2 linked regions of the Notamacropus eugenii genome follow. The protein of the gene in region 1 purifies or fractionates together with the protein of each later gene. This does not show direct contact. Links are inferred from orthologs where the notes say so. Each region holds a gene or a part of one and is shown on either strand. Other genes may lie near its edges.

The links.
Region 2: the proteins of ATP2A2 (region 1) and PLN purify together in Homo sapiens (affinity purification with western blotting; 4 studies listed by BioGRID). This does not show direct contact. The link is inferred for Notamacropus eugenii from reciprocal best matches to the Homo sapiens genes ATP2A2 and PLN.

Annotation. Positions count from the first base shown.
Region 1 is NC_092875.1:36,064,620-36,074,800, reverse strand, and holds the start of ATP2A2 (sarcoplasmic/endoplasmic reticulum calcium ATPase 2), read left to right. Parts: upstream 1-6,185; 5' UTR 6,186-6,317; coding exon 6,318-6,435; intron 6,436-7,486; coding exon 7,487-7,504; intron 7,505-7,593; coding exon 7,594-7,676; intron 7,677-10,181.
Region 2 is NC_092873.1:200,443,612-200,454,139, reverse strand, and holds the start of PLN (phospholamban), read right to left. Parts: upstream 4,271-10,528; 5' UTR 4,166-4,270; intron 1-4,165. UniProt on the Homo sapiens protein: Reversibly inhibits the activity of ATP2A2/SERCA2 in cardiac sarcoplasmic reticulum by decreasing the apparent affinity of the ATPase for Ca(2+).

The sequences.
Region 1 (10,181 bases):
AAATCCTAGGAAAACTTGTAGGAACTGATGCGAAGTGAGCAAAACTAGGACAACATTATACAAAGTAACAGCAACATTGTAACAACAATCAAAATACTATACACAGTAACAGCAATATTGTAACAACTATGAACTGTGAAAGACTTAACTTTCTGGTTAATGTCTGTGACCATTCCAAAGGACTCATGATAAAAAATGTCATCCGTTGGTAGAGAGAGAACTGATGAACTCTTGAGTACAGATTGAGGTAATTTTTTCCACTTTATTTTTCTTGCTTTTTTTTTCTCTTGCAATGTAGCTAATGTGTAAATGTGTTTTGCGTGACTTCATATGTATGATTGTTAATCATATTTTTTGTCTTCTCCATGGCTGAAACAGTAAAGAGAATTTAGAACTGAAAATAACTTTTTGTAAATGTCATTCTTAAATGTTTATGGATCAATGTCCATCTTGGTGGTGATGAGCAACAGTTCTGCCTGCAATGACGCTCTGGTTTCAGTGCAGTTTATTTGATAAATACACAAAGATATTTTGGGAGTTCACTTATCAGCATCATCATTAGTGTTGCACTTGGTACTGTTATTACGGTCATATCACTCTTCTCTTCTTTATAGGATCAAAGGTTTGAAATCAGAATAGAATAAGAAAATGTTTGCAAACCTCAAAGTGCCATGTACACCTCTGCTCGCAGTGGCAGCAGTATGACACAGTGGAACGAGCCCTGGATTTGGGGTCACAGCTTCCCATTCCTAGCTCTCCCCAGTGATGTTGGACACAGAGAGTTGGACCAGATCACTTCCAAGGGTCACTTGTAGCTCCAGAACTATGATTCTGGGATGTTTACATGTTGTCTGTCTTGCTTCCTGCTCCTGGCATAATATGCGTTCCCAGTGCTTAGCATGACATTCAGCAGATAGTAGGCACTTAATAAATGTGGCAACTAAGTGGCCTAGGAAATAAGAGTGCTGGACTTGGAAAAACATGAGTTCAAGTGCTAACTCATACTTACTGAGTGACCTCTTTGAGCCTCACTTTCCTTAACTATAAATTAGGGGTAATAATAACACTTTCACAAAGTTGTTGTAAGGGTCACATGACAGCACAAAGTGCTTTTCAAACTTTTATATAAGAGCCAGCTATTATTATAAATTCTTATTTATTGATTTATGGAGATAATTAGAGAAGATTACCTATTTTACAGGTAAGGATACCAAGGTAAAGAGGTTGAGATGTCAGAAGTGGAATCACAAGATCTCAGTTCAGCCTTAGGGTACAGAACTGTAATAAAATAATAATTTACCTTTATATACAAACCCCACAGCTTTCTAGGCCTTTGGGTTTAGAAAGCACTTTCCTTGCAAGTTCTATAATGCCTAAAAATATGTAGTACCCTTCTATTTCTGGTAGTGCTAGAAGAGATAACTGGGATTGGCTGCTACACATGGTGTAAATGTACTTCCAGAGAGAAAGTGGCCATTGGTCCTTCAAGTGCAACACCCTGGAACGATCACTGACAAGTTGCTCCGTGGCTGTGGCCTAACCAGTTTCCACCTTGCTTCACCTGGTGCATTACCATACACAAGAATTTTTGTTTGCTTGCTTCATGGTTGTTGGGTTTGTTTTTTTTTTTAAATCTTCTTCCAGGTATCAATCAAAACCTCATGCCAGCCTCCACTCCTTGGAAATAATGAAATAAGATGACGTATGTGATTCTTTCAGCTGGGCAGTACAATGTGACCTGCATCTGGCTGGAGAAATTAATCTGTTTCCAGTCCTCAGGCCGAATTCTCCAGGGCAGTTGAGCTGGCTCTCCCCTGTTCCTCTCAGGGTGTGCTCTGTCTCTATAGATAGACAAAATGTTTTGCTTTGGCAACCTGCTGCAAGAAAGCTGCTTGCCTCTGAAAACCTAATTTGCACATATTTTGTTCATGGATTCCATGCAGAGGTCCCTCCTCTCCACCTCCAGTTAAGTGGGGGTCCCTTTATATTTGGGGAACTTCCTTTATGTCAGGGAGACGTGGGTTTTGTGAAGAATATGTGAACAAAATATCTGCAGCTAAAGTGTAGGCTTTGGAGCAAAATGGTCCTCCTTTTCCCTGTTGGAGAAAGTGACAGAAAAGAAAATATACCTAACATTATGGCATCAATGCCTCCATCTTCCCAACCCTGGAGCTGCTGAGAACTAAGTACTCAGGCACTCTATGGTACTCCAATAGCTATTTAAAAGTTCTCAGATCACAACCTGTGATTTCTAATGCAGACAAGAGTTATCATAAGACCAAGAGTGGGAGTTAAAAATAATAATAATAAATTACTATGCCACTCTCCCCTCTTCTTTTACCAGGAAAGTATTCATTAACCCTCACCAGGCAGAGTGCAATCTTCTTAAGGGAATTTTCAGATGAAGAAATGGAGGCACACTGAGTTGACTTGCCTGAAGCCACATCGGTATTGGATAGAGCTGAGATTTAAAGACAGTTTTTCTGATTTCAGATTTAATGCTCTTTCCACTACCCCAGGATGCCTCTAAAACAGGAGATAATGGGACAGGTTGGGGAGGGAATCTGATAGCTATCTTCAAGCATTCAGAGGGCCTTCATATGCTGGAAGGATAAGATTTCTGTTTGCCATCCCCACTCCCACCCCAGGCACTAAGAGCAGTAGGTTGAGATTGTAAAGAAAAACTTCCTAATGAGTAGAGCTATCCAAAGTGAACTGAGGCTGATCACAGGCTTTCAGAGTTGAAAGAAACTTCAGCATCCATACAAATCCACCTCTTCCAAAGAGTCCCCTCTTCTTCAAGATGATGGGGGACCCCTCTAATTCCCATAGCAGACTATTCTCCTTTTGGACAACTCTTTTGCTAAGTTTTTCATTAAGTGGAACCCTAACATGCCTTTCTGAATCTTCAGTTCACTGCCTCTTTAGTTCTGCCTCTTGGGACCAAGGAGAACAAGCTTGTTGCCTCTGCTTGGTCATCAGATATTTAGAGTGCTAGCATGTCCCAGCTAAGCCTTTGCTAGGTTAAATAGGCCTAGTTCCTTCCACCAATCCTCACGGGGCAAGGTTTCACATTTCTTTCTGGTTGCCCTCTTCCGAACATGTACCCAGCATATCAATGTCCTGCCTAAAATGTGATATGCAGAACTGAACACAATACTGCAGATGTGGTTTGACCAGAGTAAAGGACAGTGGGATTACTGCCCCAGGAGGGTATTTTCCTTTCTTACTTTTCCACCTCCTGTTGCCTTAGTGATTTTCATCACAGACACCCCAATTCAGAGAATTCTGAGGTTAGTCAATGTCAAGTAATAAGAGGGTAATGGTGAATAGCACCTTAATCGAATGATACCAAGATCAATCTTGAACAATTCCCTTAACCTCCCTGGGTCTGTTTCCTCATTTCTAAAATGGACCTCTAAAGTTGTCTAAATCATTTGAATACCCAATGGATATGGCTCCTTTCCAGTTGTTCCAATTGGAGCTTAGTGGTTTCTGGGCTACCTCCAGATGAGTCCTCTAGATAAGTCTTCACACACTCCATCATCCTGAGGGGCATGGTATACTTTGCAAAAGCACCAGAGTTGGATTCGGAGGAGCTCCAGGTTCCCTCTGACACTGTGTGATCACGAACAAATTACCTAATCTGCTGAGCCGGATTTCTCAACTGTGAAATGAGGTATTAATAACTATGGTACTTAACTCACAGATTTGTTGTGAAGCTCAAATGAGACAACATAAAGCAATCTGCAATTTGTTGCAATTCATCTAATCTCACCAAACTACATTTTCCGGTAAGTCTCTCTGTTTTTAGTACTAGAGTAATATTGGGTCACCATCAGAAAGTCAACAAACATTTATTAAGCACTTACCATGTGCCAGGCACATAGGTGCTGAGAATATAAAGGCAAAAATGTTTCCTCACCTCAAGGAACTCACATCTTGTCCAGGGTCACACAGTTAGTGTCTGAAGATGAATTTGAACTCAGATCCTCCTGACTTGAGGGCCAGTGCTACCTGCCCCTAGCTCACATCTTAATGAGACAAGAAGCAAGAAGTCCATAGTACATGTGGAAGGCAATTCCTTCATTCTTTACCTCACCCTAACCCCCACCCTCAGTGATGTAGTGGAAAAAAAACAAAACCCAGTAAGACTGAGATTCTAGTTTCAGCTCCCCTACTTCCCAGGTGTGACCTTGATTGTCACTCAATCCCTAAACCTTAGTTACCTCATTTACAAAATAGGATTGATCATACTTACCCTGCCTAGCTTCTTGAGCACAGGAACAGTTTCAGTTTCCTTTTTTTACCCTCAGCAACTAGCATCTGGTGCTCAGCATCTAACAAGTGCTTAGTAAATACTTAGTTAATTGGTGCTTTATAGGATTGAGGATCACATAAAAAGTGCTATAATGTGGATTTTGTCAGTCTTCTGAAGAAGTTGGCATGAGGGAATTATGAAGATTCACATATACAATACCACTGTTCCTCCTAGGATATTCCAGGCTGGAGGCAGATTTCAAACTTTGACACACTAGACAAGCACTGGACTTGCAGACAGAAGATCTGAGTTCTAGTGTAGACTACTTATGATCTGCATGACCTTGGACTGACTGGAAGGGGAGATATTGGGGATGCAACCTCAAAAGGAATCAATACTGCCACCGCCTCCCCCCCCCCCCCAAGCTAATATGTTCTCCACTTCACACACTGAGAAGCCTAGCTTCCAGGAACAGAAAACTAATGGGCCTTTGCACTGGTCAGAAGATAATCTGGAACACTCTCTTCTATTGGTGGGAAGTCCATCATGGATCAAGTGGAGGATGTACAGAAGGAGGTGAAGGGCTTTGAATCCACATCCTATGAAGTTGCGTTGAAGTTGTGCTTGACCCGAGGGCAGAACCGGGGGCCAGGAAGCAGGATTTGGAGGTTGGACAGCAGGAAGAACTTCCTAGCTCTAAGATCTGTACGGGAATGGTATGGTGTTCAAGGTTCAAAGGGTTCTTCTTCACCAGAAGCCACATGGCCCCTGTCAACAGGTCAATTAACACCAGGAAGGGACTACTATGTGCTGGGCACTGGGTACAACAGAGGACAAAAGCGGTCCCTGCCCTTGGGGAGCTCACAGTCTCACGGGGAAGGGAGACAAGGGCTAGCCGGGGAAAATGGAGATTATCCCGGAGACAAGTCCTGGTGGGCCCAGGCTAGGCCTCGTGGGAGGCCTTAGGGAACCGGGCGGCCGGGTGCGGGCACAACATCCGGAGCCGCGACCCCTAAGGTGCTCCAAGGCCCTGCCCGGCCCTCTCTCGGCTTTTCATGACCAGATGTCTCTGCACTCCCTCCAGAGGAGGCCCAAAGCCTGCGCCTACACGGCCCGCCATGCCCGCTCCGGAACGGCACGCCGGCGGCTCCAGGGCGCCTGCGCCTTGAGCTCCTCGAGCCTCGATCCGGGCCCTAGGAGACGGTCGGAGGGGGCGGGGCCCGTGCGTCGGCCCGGGCGGCGTGGGTGAGGGAGTCGGAGGAGGGCTGGAGACGAGGAGGAAAGGGAGGGGCGGGGGTGAGGAGCGAGGAGGAAAGGGGAGAGAAGGGGGAGGCAGGGGGCGTGGCCCGGCCGCCGGCGCCGCGCTGGTGCCTCTCGGCCAATGAGCGGCGTCCACATGCCGCGGCGGCGAGAGGGGAGGCAGCAGCGAATAAATGCTATTCGAGCCGCCGCCGCCGCCGCCGTCGCTGCCGCGCCGCTCGCTCCCGTCCCCGACGCCGCCACCTTCGCCGCAGTCTCCTCCTCGGGTCACCGCCGCCGCGGCCCTCTGGGGTGGGGGCTCCGCGGAGGGAGCGAGCGCCGCTCCGGCTAGATAGAGCTCCCCGGGCGGCAGCGTCGGGGCGACCGCGGGGCCCAGCGCCCGGCCGGCAGGCGGGCGAGCGAGGCTCGAGGCGCGGGGCCGGGCCGGGCGGCGGTTGGCGATCGAGGCACGGTCCCGGGCTCGGGCAGGCGCCGGGAGAGCCGACCGGAGCGGAGCCGGGCGGGGGACGGCGTCACCTGCCCAGGGGCCGCGGGGGGGAGGGCGCCCGTGGGGTGATTCAGCGCTCGGCCGAGCGGAAGGAGGCGGCCGAGGAGGAGGAGGCGGCGGCGCCGCGGCTGCTGCTGCTCCTGCTGCGGGCGGGGGGAAAGCGCTGGAACCGGCCCTCCCATCGCCTCCTCCGCTGCCGGCGGCCCAGCCGAGCCGAGCCGAGCCGAGCCAGCCGGGCCGAGCGCGTCCTAGCGGGCCGGGAGCAGGCGGAGGCGGCCCCGGGCGGGCTCGGGCTCGGGCTCCGCAGCCATGGAGAACGCGCACACCAAGACCGTGGAGGAGGTGCTCGGCTACTTCGGCGTCAACGAGAGCACGGGGCTGAGCTTGGAGCAGGTCAAGAAGCTCAAGGAGCGCTGGGGCTCCAACGGTGCGTGCCCGCAGCAGCTCGCCCGCTCGCCCGCTGCGGCCGGGAGGGGGAGGGGGCGGCTGACACCCGCCCGCCCAGGGGCTTCAGCCTTCCCCTGCCGGGGGTTACCCAGCCCATCCAGCCCCCTTTGGGCCTTGCCCGTTTTTCGGAGGACAGGCTCCCTCTAGTTGGGGGCCCAGGCCTTCCCTGCCGCCCCCCACCCTTGTAGGTTGCCCGCTTTGCGCAAGAGGGGAGGGGGATCCACGCTTTTCAGCCATCTCCCCATATTGGGGTCTCCCGTGGCCTTTTATCCGGGGCTCCCCCGGGAGGGTGAGATGGCAGCCCCTCCTAGCGGGGTCCCCGGGCTCCCCTCCCCACCTCTGCGGAGGAGGGGGCCGTCGGGGGCCGGGGCCGGGAGTCTGGGCGTGTAGAGTCCGCATCGGGCTGGAAAGGCGGCCTAAGAGAGAGGGAAGATGGCTGACTGGGGCTCCACCTCGTGGGTCTCTCCCACCCGGGCTTCCCCGCCCCGGTTGTCGCGGCGAATCCCCCCACCCGGAGGAACCTTCCCCACGTGGGGAGGGGGGCTCGGGAGGGCCCCGCAGTGCCATGCCTGCCATTGTCGTTTCCCAGTTCCTATCCCTTGACGACCTTTTTGTGCCTCGATGAATCACCCACGCAGCTCCAGCCCTCGTCTGGGGAATGAGAAAGTGATCCATGGGCTGTCAGGAGAAATCGGGCTTCGGGCTTAGAGGAGCCTCTGACCTTCTGGGCTCCCCAGAGGCACCCCCACACACACATCTGGCAGGGGGGTGACCTGGTTAAAATGGCTCCTTTTTTAGGGTCCCCTCCTTAAGTGGCTGGATTTCACTCTGAGATGTAGGCACAAGGTCATTAACCGAAAAAAAAAAAATTGTATCTTTCTGTTAATTGTCACCTACAGGAAGGATGGTCGTTGTCTTCCAGAATGGAGAATGTTTAAATTTTAACAATTTTTCTTACAGAAAAACCGAATGTTAACGTTTTCTTTTTTTCTTTTCTCTCTTGCTTTCTTGCAAATCTCTGCATACAACAGAATTGCCAGCAGAAGAAGGTAAGTCATTGGCTTCAAAGTTTCTTTTCATTGTTTCTTGCCGAGGCTATTAAGATAACTATTTTAATAATTTGCGTTTGTTATTATAGGGAAAACCTTATTGGAGCTTGTAATTGAACAGTTTGAAGATTTATTAGTTAGAATTTTACTGCTGGCAGCCTGTATATCTTTTGTAAGTATAAAACATTTCTTTTTATTTTTTTTTAAGTATTGGTCGGCCAAATGTTGCAGGGATGAAACTTATAAAACTAAAAGCAGAAAAATGGGTAATAAGCAAAGAAGCCACAGTCAAAGTATTTTGTCTTGGTGTGAGCCATTTGTATTTATATAATGCAGACTATTGGTTTTTTTAGAAAGTAAATGCATGCTTCAGTCTAAGGGGTGTTTTGGTTTTTGGGTTTTTTTTTTAACTAAGGGGGTTAAAGCTAATTGGATTTTCCAAAAACATACTGTAGGGCCAAATAAGCTTCTAAAGCCAAAGTTTTGGTTTTTTTAATTACTAGGCGTTTAATTTTATTTTTAAATCTTGGCTTCTCCTTATTAACAGTTTGTAAGATCACATGAAGATGATGATGGGGTCATTGTCATCTGTAAATAGCACTTAGCCGAGGAGTATTCCCAGTTGTTTTCCCTTTCTGGTAATAGCAAGGTGACAGTTGCTTCTGACAGGGACAAGAATGATGACGCTGGTGATGGCTCTGGGGTTGACCAAATTTGGTCACTGCCCTTCTGGGTGGTGGTATGTTCATCTAAATTGTACCCCCCACCCCACCCCCTTTCTCTGACTTGACTGAGTACCAAGCAGATAGAATGCCTCAGCTGGACAGGACAAAGTTCAGCTTGCCCTGATCCATAGACAAAACGTTTGAACTGGGCAGTTTCCTGGTTGTGTTAGCTGGGGAGTCTACGTTTGCATGCAGGAGCTGGTGGGGTTGCTAAGAAACGAGAGAGATGCAGAGAATGAAAGCCTACGGAGGGGATGGGGGCGAATGTGTTCTTGATAAGTTATTAACCAATTTGTTCTCTGTGGGTTATTCTTTTTTTGAGCCCAGAGAACATTTGTTCCGTGTGGTAGATAGAGGCCTTCACACACTTGTAAGGAAGGCTTGGAAAACTCAATTCTCTGGATGAAATAAAATAATCTCATTCACAAAAATGTTTCTTCTCCCCACCACTTGAGGACAGGAAGGATTGGTCTTGATGTGACCACATCTGCTGAGGCGGCATGTGCGCCTCTGATTTTTCAGCCAGGCATGGCTTTAGAAAACCCTGACACAGCCCACTCGAGGTGAACTCCTTGGCAGTTGGGTGTGCTGCCCCATGGGCCACCTTCATCTTTCCTCTATCTTTTCTCTGTCTTATCTTTCAGCAGAAGGAGATTTGAACAGGCAGAGCTATTGACTTAGAATGGCAGGTGTCCGAGTTGTTTTCCAAATGGTAGATCTAGGAGGAGCAAACATTCATAGACACAGTCTTAGTCCTATAAGCCCTTTCCCAGGGAGTGTAGTGCAGTCAGAATTGCCGTGAGTGCCATTAATTACCTTTAGGGTCTGCCTTTGGTTTCTTCTCTTGGAGGAAAATTGAGGCATGATATCACAACAAATGGTTTGCGGAGCCTGGTGAATTGCTCCCAACCTCCTAATATGACCTTTTTCTCCCATATTTTTTTAAACTTAAATTACACAGTTTAACTCCAATATATCTGAGAAAATTAGAATCATCTTTTGTATAGATTAATCAGTTTGCATTTTAAAGGATTAGTAGCTTGTTACCACTAACATGTACTTGCACTTCTAACTGCAAATACTGTGTGGATTCATTCAGGGACTAAGCAGAGCTGCTAATAGTCTTGAATAGTTTACAGAAGGAATAAACAGGCAGCCAAAGCACATTGGAAATGACTTTGCCTCCTTGAACTAATCGCAATTTGTTGAGAAGTAGAATAAAATATGAATTTGATTTAACTTCGCAAAACAAGGCAGAGTGAATATTTAGACTGGTGCATGTCTTACACCTTTAGATGGCTAAAATGGTTTTTGAAATCTCATTTCTGGGCCAACACAGCTTTGTACTTGGGTCTCTTGATGCCACCAGGGACCACTGAGATGTTACATCAGAAGCATGGTCATGTGTACATTAAAGCAAAATTAATCTTAGCTGCTGAGTTGTTGGTGTTGGTAATACCCAAGACAGAGATCAATATTGGAAGTTTTAATTGAGCTCTCTCTCTCTCCTCTTTCTCCCCCTGTCCCCCATATCTATATGCGGAGAAAGAGGGGGAGTCTATCTGTATATTATAGAGTATATTTTAAACTTTAGCATGTGATGGATGTTGAAAGCATAGTTTATTGTAAAAATTTAATAGAGTTTATGGTTTCTGGAAATTCACGTACTCATTTTCAGAGTATTTCAAGCAGCATCTTCTTTAACCTTTCCAAACCACCATTCTTGTGGTCACTGGGAATTGTCCAACATCTTCATCTTTTTTGAATTTTGATTCTCTGATGGCTGCAGTACAATGAGTCTTGTCATGCATTCGAATCTCAGTTCTGTCATTTCATAACTGTGTGACCTTGAGCCATTAAACTTGTCTCTAAGCTTTCTTTTTTCTCATCTATAAAATAAAGAGGTTAGATTAGACGATACTCAGAAAGTTCCTTTGAGTTCTGAATCCTGT
Region 2 (10,528 bases), on another chromosome or scaffold:
TCTCATGTTACTAGATCTCACAGTGAAATCAAGGGTCACTGAGGGAAAGGCAGCTTGAAGAGGGTTAAGAAAGAGGTCATTTGAGTTTTTTAACTTGTCAGTGCATGAAGAACCAAAAAAAAAAAAAAAAGCTAGCTGCCAACATTGTTGCACCCTCCAGTCAGTCCTATGTGATTCCCCCTCCCCCAACTCCAACTTACCCATTTGAATCCTGAGAAATGAACAATGAGTGCCTATTTAAGATCAGCAAGCAAGTTTATGTGAGGACGTATTAAGCATTTACTGTATGGAAGGCACTGTGCTAGACAGAAACTGGTGATACAAAAAATGGTGAAAACTCTGGCTGTGTGTGTGTGTATACATACGTATATACACACAAAGTATATGGAAGGTATTTTCAGAGAGGGGATTTGAGCTGAGTCTCCGAGCTGGAGTTGAGGAAGTAGAGCATTCCAGTCATGAGGGATCATATGCACATTTGTATTTGTTCATTAAAAAAGGCAGTTTAGAAGATAACTTTTTTAGGTTACACAAAGAAATGAATCACATCGCTGTATCTTGTGGTGGTAGAAGTTGAACATTTTGTCCATTAAGAAAATAATACTATCAATTTAATTTCTAAATTTATTTTAAATTTAATAAATTGAAAATTAAGATTTAAAGACTTCTGAAACAAATTTTAATTCATTATTGAAATAATACAAATTAAAAACCCTAATTTCTCTTCAGTAATGATGTCAATATTTTAGGAGATTTAACTCCTTCTGTTTAATGGTTCTACTCCTTTGTTTTTACAATATCCTGCATCAGCACATGCCAAATTTTAAAATGTTATTTATGTATTTACCATCAACAATTAGCAAATGACTTTTAATTTCTCCTTTTAACGCAGCAGCAGTGAGATTTAAAAGTAATTAATATCAGTAAACATGTCACTTTCTGAAACTTAATAAGTTCCATGCATACTTTAATGGGAGGGGATGGGAACAAAATGAGGTGAGCAGCAGCAGCAGCAGTAGTGGTGGTGCTATGGACCTTTGATATCTACCTGACCAGGGAATAAAATAATAATAAAAGTAATAAAATAGCTAGCATTTATATAATGCTATGTATATTTATATAAATATTTACATATTTATATAAAGCACTTTACAAATCTTATTTTATTTTCACAACAACGCTGGGAGGTATGTGCTATTAATATCCTCTTTATAGATAAGGGAACTGATGCAGAGGGTGACAGTCCCTGGTCACACAGCTAGCTTTTATTAGAGACAGGACAGGAATCCCAGGAGTTCTTCCAACTGGGCTTTTACTTTACACATGTTGTCATGCTGCCTTGCAGTTTGCCCTACTAAAGGGACATGCTTTGACTCAATATAATGAAACCTATACTATGATAAACTAGTTTTATAATAGGATTTTATGGTATTTTTCAGCCCTGTGGGTGATATTCTATTTATATGGAACTGTATGTGAGAAAATGAAGTGCCAGTAAAGTGAAAGAACTTGAATACTCATTGTGTGTCAGGTGGTACAGATATCATTGTCTGACCATTTCACTGTGTGCTTAGGAAGAGAAAATTTATGTGAGAAACCAACACTGGTAGCCTTCCTGAACTGCAGGGCCCTTATGTGACATTAGTGAAATTAAACGCTCTTCCCCAGCTTTTCTTAGCAGTGTACTTTGCATACAAGTGCACTCTTGAGATCTGTTGATTTTTGGAATCTCTCAACCTCTCCTTTTTAGGCCTGTTTTGTTTTCTCTCTTTTAAGGTATATCTACTGTTTCTCCTGCATTCTCCTGTCATTCTCTAGTTGAAACCTTATACAAAAGTCAGCTTTTAGTTATTTATAATTTAGTGTGAATTTAAATCAACTCTCACATATTTTACATTTTAAACTTTATATCTTGTTGTGGAATGAAATCCACATTATTGTGATTTCAGGTGTCAATTGATCAGATGAGGATGGGCAAAGTAATATAAGGAAGGAGTGCTGACTTTTTTTTTGTCTTAGTTCTGATAGAAGCAGTGTGCTCTGGCAAGCCACTGAATTCTTTTGGTCATCAGTTTGTTTTAAATTTAGGGGTGTTCTGAGACAACTCTAAGATCTCTTTCAGCTCTTAAATTTTATCACTCGTTGCATTTTTCTGGTACATCTTAAATTATGTTCGGGAGCTAGCCTATGGATAATTGGCTTTAATGCTAAGAATATAAGTTAGTCATCCTAGATGTTAACTTATATTTGTTGATTCAACTTTTAGCCAGAAGTTCCAGTTTTCAGTTTAAAGACTGCTTTTAAACTTGAGCATGTATAAATAAAAATCTGTTATAAAACAGAACGTATTGATTTTTAGCAGTGTATTTATTCATTCAGGATTTTCCCCAGCTCCTTGTTGTACATGGTTTTGAAATTTTGTTAATCTTTTAGAGATTAGCTCTTTGAATTCTAATGGGAACTCACCAACTTAAAATATAAGGTATTTAATTTAATCTTGATGTGATCTGATCATTTCTAAAACAAGTGCATGTATAAATATATATGTATATATGTATTCTTGTGTCTGATAGAGTATTTTATAGAAATAAACAGCATATTCTTAAAAGAGCTCCATTATTATGTAAACAAATGGCACATCAGATCATAAATTTACAGCTAGAAGGGGTCTGCCAACTCTAGAAGATGAGGAAACTGAGCCTTGGAAGTGGCTTGCTATTGTACACAAATAAGTAGCAGAGTAATAATTTCAACCCAGGTCCTTTGACTTCAAAACTCATATTTGTTCTTAAAGCTTATCTGGTCCGTAGTTAGTGCTTGCTAAAATTTTCTTATTTGCACAGACAGCTCTACAAACTAAGGTAAAATATCTACCACAGTGAGAGGTGGAAAGGAACTTTAGATGAAATTTGTGCTAAGCAGGGATTATTAATCTGGGACCTGTGAACCTGATTTTTAATATTTTGATTAATTTGTTTCAAAATAATTGATCTCCCTCCCTATGTATTTTATTTTTACACATTTCAGAACATTATTCTGAGGACCATAAGCCTCTACAGCTTGTTAATGTGTTCTATGACACAAAAATAGGTTAAGAACCCCTGTTGTAGAGAAAACCAAAGTTCCCGCTTTTCAAAAAAAAAAATCATAGTGATGCTTGAAGCTTCAAGTAAATTCCTAGGGCAGGAAGGTAAAATTATGTGTTAGAACGATATTTTATCCCAAGTGAAAACAAGAACATAGAAAGGAAAAAACTGGTTTAAAGTCAGTCATTGGCAGAAATATATTAAATCACATGCAGAGTCAAATGAAGCAGCCCAGAATTCTCATTCTAACAGAAAGCACTCTATATTATTAGATTCAAGTGGTTGTTTTCTAATTAGGAAAGACTATTTTTCCCTATGTTCTATAAATATTTTGAGGATCACCAAGTAGCTTTTAATGCTTGGTATTCAGTTTAGCTTAGATCACGATTTTTAACATGGTGTTAGGTCATGTAGAAGTGCTCCTTTTTTAAAAAAAGCATTTTCTCTTGAACAAAAAAAACACAGTCCTTGAAATAAGTTTATGGCATTTACATTCTTCAGTTGTTAATTTCAGTATAAAGAGTTGTAACTGTTACTGAAAAAATCAGTGTATTGTACAGTCACAGGAATGTTTACAATTCTACAAGATGTAAGTAAAAGTTCTATCCTTGTGTTACCTCTTAATTTTTTCAGTTAAAATTATTCAGTAGGAAGTGATAATGAGGAAGTATATAATAACAGTATTATGAAAGATGCTAAAAGTGAATATAATTTCACAATTAGTATTTATAAAATGAATTTGTGTTAAAGGTATGTTAGTCCTTTTTGGACTTTTTGACCTTGAAGTGTTTTGTGTGTGTGTGTGTGTGTGTGTGTGTGTGTGTGTGTGTTTAAAGGACTTATCCCCTCTCAAAGATGGGGAAACTGAGGTATATGCATTAATGTGTTCTGGGGGAAGTGTTTTTATTTAGAAGCAAAACTTTTTAATTAGATTTTTAAGTGATGTCTGGCTCAGAACTAAAATATACAAATCATTCAAAAACAGCATAATGGCTTTGTTTCAACATATATAAAAAAGACTAAAATCTGAGTAGTGGATTAAAGAGTTACCAAAGATAGTTAAAAAATAAGTCTCTTACCTTGGCTGCTCAGATAATTGCAAACATGTAGTGCAGTATGCTCTCAGTTGTCTGAAGTCCTCGTGTTTTACTGGCACCTTTTTTTTGAATGTCACTATATTTGTGGAAACAGTTGAAGTAGGTGGAGAAAGAGAAGTTTCAGAGGGAGGACCCATGATGTCATACACTAATTGAGAAGTTGTGATTGGTTATTATATACCTCAACACTGAGATTATCCAATCAAACTCACTGAAACCGTGATTAATACTACTTTAGAACTGCAAAGGTCACCAGCCTTTGATATTTTACTTATTGAAAAAAGCAAATGGTGAACTATAAGGCTGGTTCTTATATAAAAGAGAGTGCCATGTTTGCTCTTGATAGTTTGTTTTGTTTTTGTTCAGAAAGCTTTTAAAGAATCCCCTCCCCTAGATGTTTTTGGTGTATTATAAAATTTTCATATTGTAAAAATTTCAAGTAGTAAGTGATTTATTTACAGAACTTTTCAAGTTGCAGTAATAATAAGGAACTTGATGCTTCTAATTAGATGCATTCCCATTGAGTCACTGGGCCAAAGTGCTATCTCTGTTCAGTTTTATATTTAATTCTGTGATTGTCTAATATTAAAAGTTTAAAAGAATTTTGAATTTTTTTCATTTAAACACAAATTGATACATCCTTAGTACGTGTTCATATGTGCATACATACACACACACGCATACATATACATTCAGTGGTAATCACTTTTTAATTCTTTTTTTTTTTAAAGTTTTTGTAAAAAGGTCATTTATTTGAAAGCTAAGCAAGAACAAAAGCACAAGCCATTGATTTTAACACTCCTGTTCTAACGTGGTCTCTGGAATGAGTAGGCATAGATTTGACTCATTTCTGTTACATAGCATTGGTCTCACCAATGTTCACATGTAAATGCTGCGTTTCTGCTGGATTCTTATTTCAGCTATTTTTAGGCTGGATCCCAAAGGTTATGCCTCTCTAATTTGCTAATGTATATGGAGGGATGTATAGACATATGCTTACTATGTAAATATAGTTTAAATTAAAATTTATTAAAACAGCTAAAGGGTGATTGCTAGCATATGTGTGTTGTGTATGGGTATATATCTCTTCTAGGTAATTAATTTGCTTAAGCATTTTAAAATTTCTGCTTTCAGAAATAAAAACTTAAGTTTAATATTTCTAAGGTACAAAAAGCATTCCAAAATCTTTTTTTAAAAAGTGATGTATTGTTTTAGGGATTTCTTGTTTATTTTTGTTTGTGTTCAGTGTATACTATGGAATTTGTAAAAAAAAAAAAATATAGTACATTTACTCTGCATTTTTATATGCATTGATATTAGTTCTACATAAGCAAATCAAGTAGCCTTTAAAATCTGCAGCTGCTGTTTTATGTGTCCTTAAATGGATATCTTCTGGTATTCCTCCAGAGGAAGATAAGAATCCATATCTGGGAGCATTTTTTCATTCTCCATTTATTTAAAGAACCAGTGAAAACTGATTTTAAAATAATATTTTGGGAGAAAATGTTTTATGGATATAATAAAGTAAAAATGGAATACCTGAAAAGTATACATAAAAATGAATGAAATGAGTAGTTTTTCCTACAGAACTTTAAAAACCTCATATTTCTCTTGTTCTCTTGTGTTTAATACTTTTTCCAAGTGAAAAATGTTGTGTAGCTAAAATTTTAAATCCCATTCATTCCAGAGTACATTTCTGTTACTTTTGTGAACTATTATAGAGCAGAAGATTCAGAGAATGGGAGATTTAAAACAGATTTACAGTATATATTGATATTATGACAAATGGGGAGAGACAGAAGCCAACAGACTCTTGATAACTTTAAAAAATGATGTTTTAAATCTGGATGGTATCTATTAAAATCCGAACATATCTGGATGGATATCTTTTTTATTAGGAAAAGAAAAAATTTGAAGTCATTAAAAAGAAGAAAGTTTGCAATTCTTGGAAAATGGAGTTTGGTGGTAATTTAGTTTGATAAACCAGAAGTTTACTGTATGCTTAATTCTAATATGCTCATTATGTATTTGTTTATTAATTTCCTAGGGATTCAGAAAATTAGCAGAAATAGTATGTAGGAATAACAACGTACAAACGAAGAATTTCTTCTCTTTTGTGTATAAGTATGAAGAGATGCCTGTGTTTGGCCTACTCTTGTCTTAGAGTCTAAGCCTCTTTTTAAAAAACAAGGAGTGCAAACACTTAAGAAATGTCAGTGTGCTTTTGAATGTATTCTGAGCCTTAGAGTTGCTATGTGTTCTAGGCACTATGCTGAACAATAACACACACACACACACACACGCAGAAAGAGTTTGCTTTCAAGGAAATGTAGTAGTCAATAGGATTGAGGGTTTAGCTGGTATTAAAAGTATTCATGGCTGGTATGAGTAGATTCTGAGGAGGAACTTGACCATTAGAACAGGGGGGAGGTTAGAGTTGGAGGAGATTCTGACTGAACCCTCACAATGTGCCAAGCTTTGTGTTAGGTACAGGAGTGGGAGTAGATCCAGGGGAAGGTACTCATCGGAGCATGGTGGACAAATACAGAGTTAGAAGCAGGAGCAAAGGATTGACTGGTCTGGGCCTTGCAGATTGTAGGGGCAGAAGAGATGTGTGTAGAGGGAGAAGATGGGGGAGCATTTTGAGACCAAGCAAATGTGTAGATAAAGGAAAGCTTTGGGTGGAGCTTAGTGTTCTGCCCTCTAGCATTCCTGTTAGAGGGAAGAGGAGGCTGAGATTAATCATTAGAATTGCCTCAGCATTTCAATTTGAAGTTTTTATTCTTTCCAAGTCAACAAGCATATATTTAGCTCCTACTCTATGCCAGGCACTGTGCTATATACCAAGAAAGTTAAAAACAACCCCTGTCCTCAAGGCACTTAGAATAGAATTAGAATAGGCAGTGAGGAAACAAAACTATCACTTTGTGTATGATGTGATGCTATACTAGAGAACCCTAGAGAATCAACTAAGAAACAACTTATCAAAGTTGCAGCATATAAGACATAAATAAGCAGTATTTCTTTATATGACCAATAAAGCCCAGAAGCAAAAGATAAAAAGAGAAATTCCATTTAAAATAACTGTAAACAATATAAAATACTTAGGAACCTACCTGCCAAGACAAACCCAGGAACTATATGAGCACAGTTACAAAACACTTTCCATACAAGTAATGTCAGATCCAAACAATTAGAAAGATAGCAGTTGCTCATGGATACGCTGAACCAATATCATGAAAATGACAGTTCTCTCTAAAATAATTTATTTATTCAGTGCCATTCCAAACTTCCCCAAAATTATTTGATAGAGGTAGAAAAAAAGTAACAAATCATCTGAAAGAACAAAAGGTCAAGAATATCAGTGGAATTAATGAAAAAAATACAAAGGAAGGTAACTTAGCAGTTCCAGATCTCAAACTATATTATAGAGCAGTAATCATCGGAACTATCTGCTACTGGCTAAGAAATAGAGTGGTGGATCAGTGGAATAGATTAGGTTTACGAGACATAGTGGTAAATTACCACAGTAATTAAATGTCTCACAAACCCAAAGACCCCAGCCTCTGGGATAAAAATTCACTATTTGACAAAAACTGCTGGGAAAACTGGAAAACAATAGGGCCCAAACTAGATATAGACCAATATCTCATACCATACTACCAAGATAGGGTCAAAAGGGATACATGATTTAGACATTAAAATAGTCTGCCTGTAAGATCTATAGAGAAGGGAAGAATTTTTGATCAAACGAGATAGAGCATTACAAAATAGAAAAAAAAAGTAATTTTGATTATAATAAATTAAAAATAAACACAAACAAAAACAAAACCAGTGCAACCTAGATTAGAAGGAAACAATCTTTATAGTAAGTATTTCTGATAAAGGCTTCATTTTTCAAATAAAGAGAACTGAGTCCAACTTATAAAGACTACAAGCCATTTTTCCCTATTGATGAATGGTCAAAGGATATGAACAGGCAGTTTTCAGAAGAAACCAAAATTATCTATAGGCAAATGAAGTGCTCTAAATCACTTGATTAGAGAAATGCAAATTAAAGCAACTCTGAGATACCATCTCACATCTATTAGATTGACTAATATGACAAAAAAGGAAAATGATAAATGTTGGAAGGGATGTGGGAAAATTGGGACACTAATGTGCTGTTGGAGTTGTGAACTGATCCAACCATTCTGGAGAGCAATTTGGAACTATGCCCAAAGTGCAACCAAACTCTGCATACTCATGTATTTCTTAAAAGCAAATGTTTTTGAGAATCTTAGAGCTGAAAAAGATTTCATAGGCTAGGTCAAACTCATACCAGAATAAAGATTTCTTCAGTGTGTGAGTCATGCAGTATATTTTTAAAAACATCTACTGAAGGAGAACCCAGTACTTCCCAGATGATCCTATCCTACTTCTAATTAAGATTTTTTTTATATCATCTCTAATTCTGACACTGAATCTTACTTATTATTCCTGTTTTACTTCTTGGAACCAAAACAGAATAAGTCTACTTTTGGAAGACCACTTCACAATCAGATATTTGAAAATAACTGTTATGCTCCTGTTAAGTTTTCTTCTCCAGGCTAAATCTTTCATTTCTTTCAGCTGACCCTCATCTGAATAGAAGCTCCTTGTAAGTGTGGAAATACCATTGTTTGTACTTTATTGCCAGTGTCTAGCACAGTATCTGGCAAAAAGGGAACTGATTCATAAATTGTATGAAATTGGCTTTAAAGACATTTAATCAATATTTATTGATTGTTTTATACAGCCTAATGCCCAGTCCAGAGATGGGGAACTTATGGCCATCAGGCCACATGTGGCCCCATAGGTCCTCAGATGTGGCCTTTTGACTTAATCCAAACTTCACAGAACAAATCCCCTTATAATAAAAGAATCTGTTGTGTAAAACTCAATCAAAAGGCGGTACCCATGGACCTCTAGAGGGCCTCATCTCCTTTAACTTTTTTTTTTTCACATGAGGTAGGGAGTCCCAGCTTTGAAAACTGTTACAATAGTTCAGGCTAAAGTGAATGAGGGCTTGATCTATGGTGGTGACTGTATCACTGGAGAGAAGAGCACCCTAGGACAGAGCCTTAGTATAAATCCAAGAGAGCACTCCTTTAACCATTCTGCCCCCCCCCCAAACAAACAGAGAAAACCATTCACTGTTGACTTCAGTGTTCCATCTGGCTGTTTCCTTGAATCTTTTCCCATGTTTTGTCTTTACCCCTTTGGCAGTGTGGTTAAGGCTGTTGATTCTCAGAATAATGTTTGTTACTGCACAAAGTAAAATACTTAGAATACATACTCAGAGAGGAGATTAAGAAGAGAAGGTGGCAACAGTTTTAGGGTTTGTGGAAAAGTTAAAGATGAGTATTGAGAAGAACCCATTGACTCCAGCAGTTTAAGAGGTTTTTGGTTATTTTGGAGAGAGCAACTTCAGTTGAATGTGAAGGTCTGAAGCCAGAGTGCGGAGAGTGTAGAAGAGAGTGAGAAGATGAAGCACCTAGTGTAAACAAGTTTCTCAAGGAGTGTAGCAGGCAAGGGGAAGAGAAATGGGAGGATAGTAAGGATGATTGGACCATATGATGATGGCTTCTTTAAGGATTGGGCATGACAGATATATTTTCAGACAGCAGAGAAGGAACCAGTAGATAGAGGGGGTTTGAAAATGAGGGAGAGAGGAGATGAATATAGGGAAAATCTTCTGGAAAATATGGGAGGGAATGGAATAAGGGTGAATGTAATGGGATTGGCTTTTAATGAGAGAGGGACATCAGTAAATGGCTTCAATTTTCTTATCTATTTATGAATCAAGACCCTCACTGGAGGTGTTGTGTGTTGGGTGTTGTGTGAGATTTGAGAATGGATTAAAATGCTTGGAATTTTGTAGTGAGTGGGATAGGTTGATTAAGGAGGAATGATTGGTTGATTTGCTGTAATGAAGGCCCAGATGAGATTAGATAATTGAAAATTGTCCTGGATTCAGTCGGAAGAGTCGATTCCATTCAGCAGCATTTGAGTAGGAACATAAGAGCAAGAGGAATTTGTTTTTTTTAATAAATATTCATTGGTATTTTTTTTCATAAAACATTATGTATTTCAGTTCCCTATTCTCAGAGAGTAGCACCTTGGAACAAAGAATAAGGCAGTCTAACCAACTCATGAAAAAGCTTGACTTTTGTCATGTTTAATAAACATAACCCATGCATTTTTGCAAATAAATGGAGGGTCATTTTCATATCCCTTCTCTGGGACCAAACTTGGTGGTTATAATTTTATAGCCTTCAGTTTTGATTGTTTTGTTGTTTTTCTTTCCATTTACATTGTTAGTGT